Linked DNA regions of Xenopus tropicalis. The protein of the gene in region 2 purifies or fractionates together with the protein of the main gene of each other region. This does not show direct contact. Links are inferred from orthologs where the notes say so. Each region holds a gene or a part of one and is shown on either strand. Other genes may lie near its edges.

Evidence for each region.
Region 1: the proteins of yaf2 (region 2) and bcorl1 purify together in Homo sapiens (affinity purification with mass spectrometry; 5 studies listed by BioGRID and IntAct, counting the BioPlex papers as one, with this or other methods). This does not show direct contact. The link is inferred for Xenopus tropicalis from reciprocal best matches to the Homo sapiens genes YAF2 and BCORL1.

The regions. Positions count from the first base shown.
Region 1 is NC_030684.2:55,013,112-55,016,766, reverse strand, and holds part of bcorl1 (BCL-6 corepressor-like protein 1), read left to right. Parts: intron 1-1,460; 5' UTR 1,461-1,542; coding exon 1,543-1,628; intron 1,629-1,827; coding exon 1,828-1,918; intron 1,919-2,866; coding exon 2,867-3,655. UniProt on the Homo sapiens protein: Transcriptional corepressor. May specifically inhibit gene expression when recruited to promoter regions by sequence-specific DNA-binding proteins such as BCL6.
Region 2 is NC_030679.2:64,862,247-64,866,520, forward strand, and holds the start of yaf2 (YY1-associated factor 2), read left to right. Parts: upstream 1-1,389; 5' UTR 1,390-1,484; coding exon 1,485-1,510; intron 1,511-1,681; coding exon 1,682-1,807; intron 1,808-4,274. UniProt on the Homo sapiens protein: Binds to MYC and inhibits MYC-mediated transactivation. Also binds to MYCN and enhances MYCN-dependent transcriptional activation. Increases calpain 2-mediated proteolysis of YY1 in vitro.

The sequences.
Region 1 (3,655 bases), on a different chromosome or scaffold from region 2:
TGTAAGTTGCACAAAAGTGTATAATGCAGGAAAACGTTATAATGGAGCAATGTGATCTTCCAAAACCTGCCAAAACCTGAATATGAAAATATCAAATTTGCTGAAAAATGGGAAAATCAACCTAGTAAGGTTCTATATTATAACATTACCATAACAGATTTATTTGGTCTAAATCTATGCAAACTTTTCAAAAAGTCATTTTTAAAATGCTGTCTTCACTGCCAAAAAGATTCAATCATACTATAATTTCTTTGGTTTTCAGAACATAATTGTAGGTAAACAAATTAGGAGGACTTAGGTTCTGCTGTTAAAATAGCAGGGTAAATCCTAAATGGCTTATGTCAGAAGAAAACAAATATGGTATGGTACTGTATTTTAAGCAGTAATTGGAAGTCCCATGCTCTCTAATTAGAGGTCTGTAACAACTGAACTCTTTTAGTAGGTCTGTAATCGAACAGGACCGATCACTTAGAGTTTTGACCAGTTAAAAAATGACTGGACAGTGAGTGCATGTTCCCTTTGTATTAAACCAAAAACATCCTGTGTAACTTTAGTAGCATACTGCAGTTCTGGTAACCCATGTTTTCCATGTTTGACAGTAAAACAGTTGACTTGGTGTTGGTGATGAGTGGAATCTATTTTTTGCATTGTAATTAGCATCAGGAATACTGAATGACCCACTGTTCTGTTTTGGGTGATGGAGTAGGAAGGTATTTACAAGATCAATCCCTTTTGGAGTAAGATGAATGGGCTTACCATATTTCCAACTTCTGAATCCATAAAATGTATATTAAACAGAACATTTAGAAAATGGTGTTACTATGGCAGCATTTTATGTTCCTTTTTAAGGATTTAAGTGTTCTCATCTAATCAACAAAAAATGTTTTTTTTGAAAAATGGAACTGCTTATTTGTTTGTCAAATATTTATTCATTATTACCTATTATTCTTCCATTTGGTGGTGTTAGACGAGGGGGACTGCCATAATGCATAATGCACAGTAGCGTCCAGTTTGCTTTGAAGTACCCAGAACTCTGTAGCTGAACTGTGAGCAACACTTTAAGACTTAGTTTAAAATAGCAGCTCTAAAGGACATATACCATAGCATGTTTATGTGATCCAACACATCCTACAAAGTTGTAGAGCCTGCCTGAAACCTTCTTGGTAGACCCTTTATTTATATTTCTTCTACTATAATGAATCTTTGTTTAGTTTGTTTTGACCAGTTTCCACAATGTTACAGTATGCCAGTCTTTTCCTGGTGCAAAAATATCCATAGCCCCATTGGTAACAGAGTTTGAAGGCAATTTTTCTTATGCAATTATTACCTTCAGTTATAATATGTCACTAATTTTCAGCAGTGGATCATATTGGCTTTTCCCAGCATGTTTTACACTTAAAGTCTAGTATTTATGCAAATACATCTCTTGAGTGATTGGTATGTATTCTGTTTGCCACCAGGTAAATCTCCTATAGAACACAGAAGACACAACCAGAAGATCTGTGGTCACCTCTCATAGCTTCTTGGGCGTGAGCGCCTGCCATGCTATCGGCCGCCCCGCTTTACAGCGGTGTGCACAACTGGACCAGTGTGGACCGTGTGCGCATGTGCGGCATTAACGAGGACAGGTAACATCCCTTATTAAATCTAAAAATATAAGTACATAAATGAGTAAGGTATATGTAATTAAATACAACTAATAGGAGTGGTGCTGCACCTTTTAATAATTCTAGGTTTGCAGTGGCATGAGCTGAGTACTTATAAACTGAATGAAGTCCAGTTACTCAGCCAACACCCACTATAATTCTCTGCCTTGCCCTTGGACAGGAGAACATCACTATCTGATGAGGAGTCTAAAACCAGCTGTTCCCAGCACCGGGGGTCTGAAGATCATTGTGTAAACAGCTTCTTATCCAAGGTGAGTTTGCAGAAACCTTGTCAATTAGTATTGGATAGAAAGACCACTTTGTAAGTAATTTGTGGGGTTAAGCACAGCCTGCCTACTTTGTCAGTGGATGAACTATGCAGTTAAATGCTTCTATTTGTATTTTGAAATAAAACATTTGCCATTTCATGTTTTAGGCTAATGTCTCATGGAGTGAGATAGTTGCGCGTGATAGATCTCTCCTACTGGGGGGGGTGACTAACCATTCTAGAATGCCTTTCCACCGGCAACAATAGGATTTGCCGGTGAAAAGGCCTACGCATTTCTTTGGTTTTCCGAAGTTGCACAAAGTTGCTTGCAGGAGGAAACGTTGTGCGTCTTTGGAAAGCCGAAGCAATGGGTAGGCCTTTCCACCGGTGACCCCTATTGTTGCTGGTGGAAAGGCGTTTTAAAGCAGTTAGTTGTCTGAGGTAGCAGAGATCTATCCTCCTGCAGGCAACTTTTGCGTGACTTCAGAAAATGAAGTGATGCAAAGGGATTTCCACCGGCCACTCCTGTTGTTGTCGGCTGAAAGTCATTTCAGAGCGGTTAGTCTCCCACTATAGCAGAGATTCTTTTGCCTAATAACAAAAACATAATTCTAAGCAACTTTGCAATAAACATTCTTTACAAATTTGCAATTTTATTTACTTATTTGTATATATAATTGCTATTAGAAGTATTGTTTGCTAGTCCTTTTCTATTCTTTGCCCTGGTGGCTCTGGCATTTGAAATGTGTCCTTTAACTACTGGATGGACACTGTTTTATATTTCTTAAATGTAGTCACTGACTTTTTTTTGTTTTTTTTTTACATAAGGTAACTGACTCTGGTGCCTGGTGACTCTAGCATTTGAAATGTGTCCTTTAACTACTGGATGGACACTGTTTTATATTTCTTAAATGTAGTCACTGACTTTTTTTTGTTTTTTTTTTTACATAAGGTGGAGTTCACGTCAGGAGCCAAACAAAGTGATGCTCTGATGCTTCAGGAAGATGGGGGTGCAGTGGAAACTGGGCAGAGACTAGAGGAGAAGCCCCCAGATTCTATATTAACTTCAGGAGACACAGTGGTACCCAAGGTCCATGATAATACGTTGCCATCAGACAGCAAGCAAGTTACCAACATGTTGGATATCTCCATCCAAGCAACTTCAACTCCAGACAGTAAAAGAACAGAGTCTGCTAGGGCTCCTGTTCCAGAGAAATCTTCTTTGCCTGCTGATGCAGATCATTCTGGGCTGCAAAAAAATGTTCTGGCTGCTGGCTTACAATCAGTAGGTCAGCAAATGGAGGCTTCACACACTGTTGTCTCTTCTAGTTTTGGCACTCTGACTCCTTTTGCTATGAGTAGAATATGTTTTTCTACCACTCAGGTCCCAAATGTGCAGAAACTTCCGCTGTCCTTTACACCTGGAGCAGTCCTATCCCCAAGCCAACCCTTGGTTTACATCCCCCCTCCAAACTGTGGGCAACCTCTTGGTGTAGCTACCTTACCAACTACATTTGGAGTAACGTCAACATTGACTCTTCCCATGCTGCCACCCTGCCTGCAGGAAAGATGCCTACCTAGCATTATAGCACCTACAGAACTGCATGCACATACTTTTACTTCTCCTTTGGGGAGGCCGTTAACCACTGATCCAAAAGTGACTTCAACAGAGTTAAATAAGTCAGCCAGCACAACAGCTTCCATTTCTGCCACTGACCGCCATAGCATTACCACAGCTGTA
Region 2 (4,274 bases):
TTTTTGAAGAGTCAAAACCAAAGAAGAAAAAGTTCAACAAACAAATATTTCAATTGCAATAACATTTACAAATAACTTTAAAACCTATCATGCACAGAGATGATTGGTATATTGCAGAAGCGCCATTACAGTTATTAAAGTGATGGTATTTTACAAAATATATAATCTGACAAAATCACTTTTACTTTCCATTCTGTACTCCCAAATCAATGCCAATTCCAATGTCAATGCCCTCCTCACATTTTCCCTTTCAAATAACTGTCTATAATTGTGTCTGTGCATTGGCATCAGGTCCCCAATTCTGGCACATACACAAGATTTTAAAGGTGATACAAAGTTTCCCTTAATAAAAATGTCCACAAAATTGTGCCTGTGCTTGTGACTGTAAATTGTAAGAATGAATGAAAGAAAATGTAAAGTTTATTTTGCTCAAATAAGACAAAAGAATTTGGAATTATTTCTTAAGGTGACAGGTCCCCTATTAAGACCTTACCATTATTCCTTTTCTCATTATTATTCTGATGTCTCCCAAAACATTTTAAGTTCTTTTTAGCAATGTTGTATAATGTCCCTTGAAAGCATATATTTATTTTTCTGTTATTAGGCACATATCATAATTATGATTTTACCTTTAGTTCCTTCCCCCTGTAATAAGTTTATAGCTATTGAGCATTGTATAAACAACCCCCACCCATAATCAAATAGCTACAGTTTCTGTGAGGCTTTCTGATTGGGGGACTAGTGATTTAAAGCTGCATTTTTCTCTTTTACTGACTTATTCACCACCCTCACCAGATGCTTAGGAGAACCACAGGAAGTTGTAAAGTGAAACTGCTTTTAGTTTAGTTATTGCCCTATTGTGTAATACATGGCAACAATATCGCTTAATTAAAACAACTGGGAAAAGTATGTTGAGTACAAGCCCCGTTGAATGCGTCTGTGTTAAACATGCGGATACACAACTCCTCTAAGTTTGCTGTTTAGCTGAGAGGCCCGGCTGCCTTAGCCTTGCATTGCTTTGGCTCAGTATTCTTTAACTCCATTACTGAGGTAGAGACAGAAGAAGAGCCACGGTCCTTTCAGCTACAGTCGTTTGTGTTGATTATGAGACAACCAGCGGTGTTTGCCAGCGCTTCCTCCATCACACGCTACGTGCGCCTACATTTGCCCTGCGCATTTCCTTGTATCCCCGGGCAGATTTCCTTTATGCTCGGACTTTTTCATGTGCGCTTTCTTTTCCATAGTAATGCCGACCATAAGGCAGCCCCTTACGGCCTCTTCTCCGCACATACATCAAGCAAAGTCGCTTTAGTTTTCCAAGCGGCTCTGGTATTGCTTTGTCGGCCTGTTATTGGTCGCGCCAGGTCACGTGTTGCGGTGGACAGCTGGCTGCGGTTGATCGCGGTCGGTGTAGGCGCCCACTCCCGCCTCATAGCCCGGGCTCTCTCCCCGCTCGGCCTGCGCTCAGCTTCCTCTGAAGCAGCATGGGAGACAAGAAGAGTCCGACCAGGTAAGAGCACGGCTAAAGCAAAAAAGGAAGTAGAAGCTGGTGAGAGGCTGCGAGGATTGCCTAGGCAATCTCCTTTTCACTGTGTTAGAAGCGCCCGAGGCCGGGGCTAGGGGAACAGGCCGCCTTGTCAGCGTGTATGCCCTTGTCTCTAACAATTTCCTCTTCCCCCAGGCCGAAGAGGCAGCCGAAGCCTTCATCAGACGAAGGATACTGGGACTGTAGCGTGTGCACTTTTAAGAACAGCGCCGAGGCCTTCAAGTGCCTGATGTGCGATGTACGCAAGGGAACCTCTACCCGGTGAGCGAGCCCGCCACACAATAACAGCACAGCCTCCTCACTTACTGACATTGTCTTCTTAGCCAGTCCCCACAATACCGCACTTGCCTCACAATTCTCACAATACCGCACTTGCCTCACATGCCGCACTTCCTATCCTGTAGTAACATTGCTGCTGCTGCTACACAATAACAACACATCCGTTTGTCTGAAACAAACAAGCACACCTTCTGCACGGAACATAAACACACAGCTCGGATGTGAACACATTGCAAGCAAAACACCAGCGCACAAATGGTTAACGAATCCCTGCAAGTATAGTAATTGTGATATATTACAGAATCACTTTAGTTCTCCTGTAATTGTGACATATTACAGGAGAACTAAAGTCATTCAAATGGCTATGCTGTTACCCCTGCCCCTACCCCTGTCTTTGGAAAACGCACTGGACTGCAGAGTGTGTAGTCCCAATCCTCTGTGCCAATTATGTTGGGTGCATATACAGTACAGTAATCACCCCTTTCCAGGGAGCTGCAGCGGATGCTGGGAAACAGGCAAGAAAATGGAGGCAACTGTCAAGTAGTCTGGGACAGTGTGCTTTCTAATGAAGACAAACACCAGTGCAGGGCAGCAGGTTAGAGATTAAAATTATATTTTTACTTTAGTTCTCCAGCAAAGACAAAAATATTTAGTGAAACGGCAACAAGATGCTTTTCCTACATAACACCACATAATAAAAAACAGCATCACTTTCAGTTGTCCTGACACAAGGAAAACTATACCTTCAGAATAATATGATGAAAAGTATTTGTTGGGTATTTAAGTGGCCTATTTAAGAATATTTCCAATCTGGAGCATATATATCAGTAAATATTACCCCTTTTACCTTAAGCTGCCGTTTTGTGATGGTCTGTGTGCTCCCTCAGAGATCACCTGGCCAAAAATATTGCATCTCTAACTTTAACAGGAAGTAGTGTGGTAGTAAAAGACAGAACTTCTGTTAATTGGCTGGTATGATGTATGTGTGCCCCATGAATCATGAAAATCATATAATCTGGTGTGGTGGTAGCCCTTAGTACTTAAAATTCCAGTTTTCTATTTTGGAATGACACATACTACTAAAAAAGGTTATTTTTCTAAAAATGGTTTATTTAGATAAAGTAGAGTTTTATATGTTAGCTGTTTTTTTTAATAAATATATAAGAAGTCCTCACGACAGCACCTCACTCCAAAATGCAATTAGATAGCCACCCTTGTGCACAGAATACAAAATAAAACACAACCAGCACCAAGGGTCTTATAGTTCAAACAATCTCAAGTGTATTGCATGTATAACCAACGTTTCAGTCCCTTTTCGGACTTTTTTCGAAAGTGTCTGTTATACATGCAATACACTTGAGATTGTTTGAACTATAAGACCCTTGGTGCTGGTTGTGTTTAAGTTTATTTATATATCCAAAAAAGACCAGCAACACCGAGTTATATTCCAAAAACAATTGTGTATTAAAAACGCATAAACAGCCACAATTGATTGATTTTGGAATATAACTCGGTGCTGCTGGTCTTTTTTGGATATTTAAATCATTTACCTTGCACCGGAGCTAAGAGCTGAAGCAGAGTGCCACCCTGGGTTCACTATATATATATATATATATATATATATATATATATATATAATCTCTTAGGTTTTTTTTTTTTTAAAGAGACCTACATTGTTCTGGGGTATGCTTTTCCTTTAAAGGAACAGTAACACCAAAAAATGAATAAAAGTAGCCAAAATATAATGTGCTGCTGCCCTGCACTGGTAAAAGTTGTGTGTTTACTTCAGAAAGTCTACTATAATTTATATAAATAAGCTGCTATGTAGCCATGGGGGCAGCCATTCAAAGGAGAAAAGGCACCAGCACATAGCAGATAACAGATAAGTTCTGTAGAATACAATAGTGTTTTATCTGTTATCTGCTATGTAACCTGTGCCTTTTTTCCAGCTTGAATGGCTGCCCCCGTGGCTACACAGCAGCTTACTATATAAATTATAGTAGTGTTACTGTAGCAAACACACCAGTTTTACCAGTGCAGGGCAACAGTGCATTATATTTTTATTACTTTAAAGCTCTTGCATTTTTTGGTGTTACTGTTCCTTTAAGCCAGAGGTATCTCCCCTGTGGCTAGGGCTGTTATCTGATGGTAAAAATAGACTTTGTCAAAAGGCAAAATATCCCTTTTGGCAAAAGGGATATTAAGGAAAGGGCAGTTACATTTATTGGTTTCTCAGAAAAAGGTGTCCTTATTGTTGAAATGCATCTGATAGTTTTAAACTTTTAAATTAAGCTCCATTGTTTCAGTGTCAGTGCCTATACACTGGCTGACCTACCAACTGCCCCATTATTTAGTTTGGCTATCCGCTTGCTAAGAAGTGACAGCAGGAGTAGTTTTCAAAAATGATGAAAACAGCAGCACTCCAGTTGTTTTGAAAAATGTGAATCTT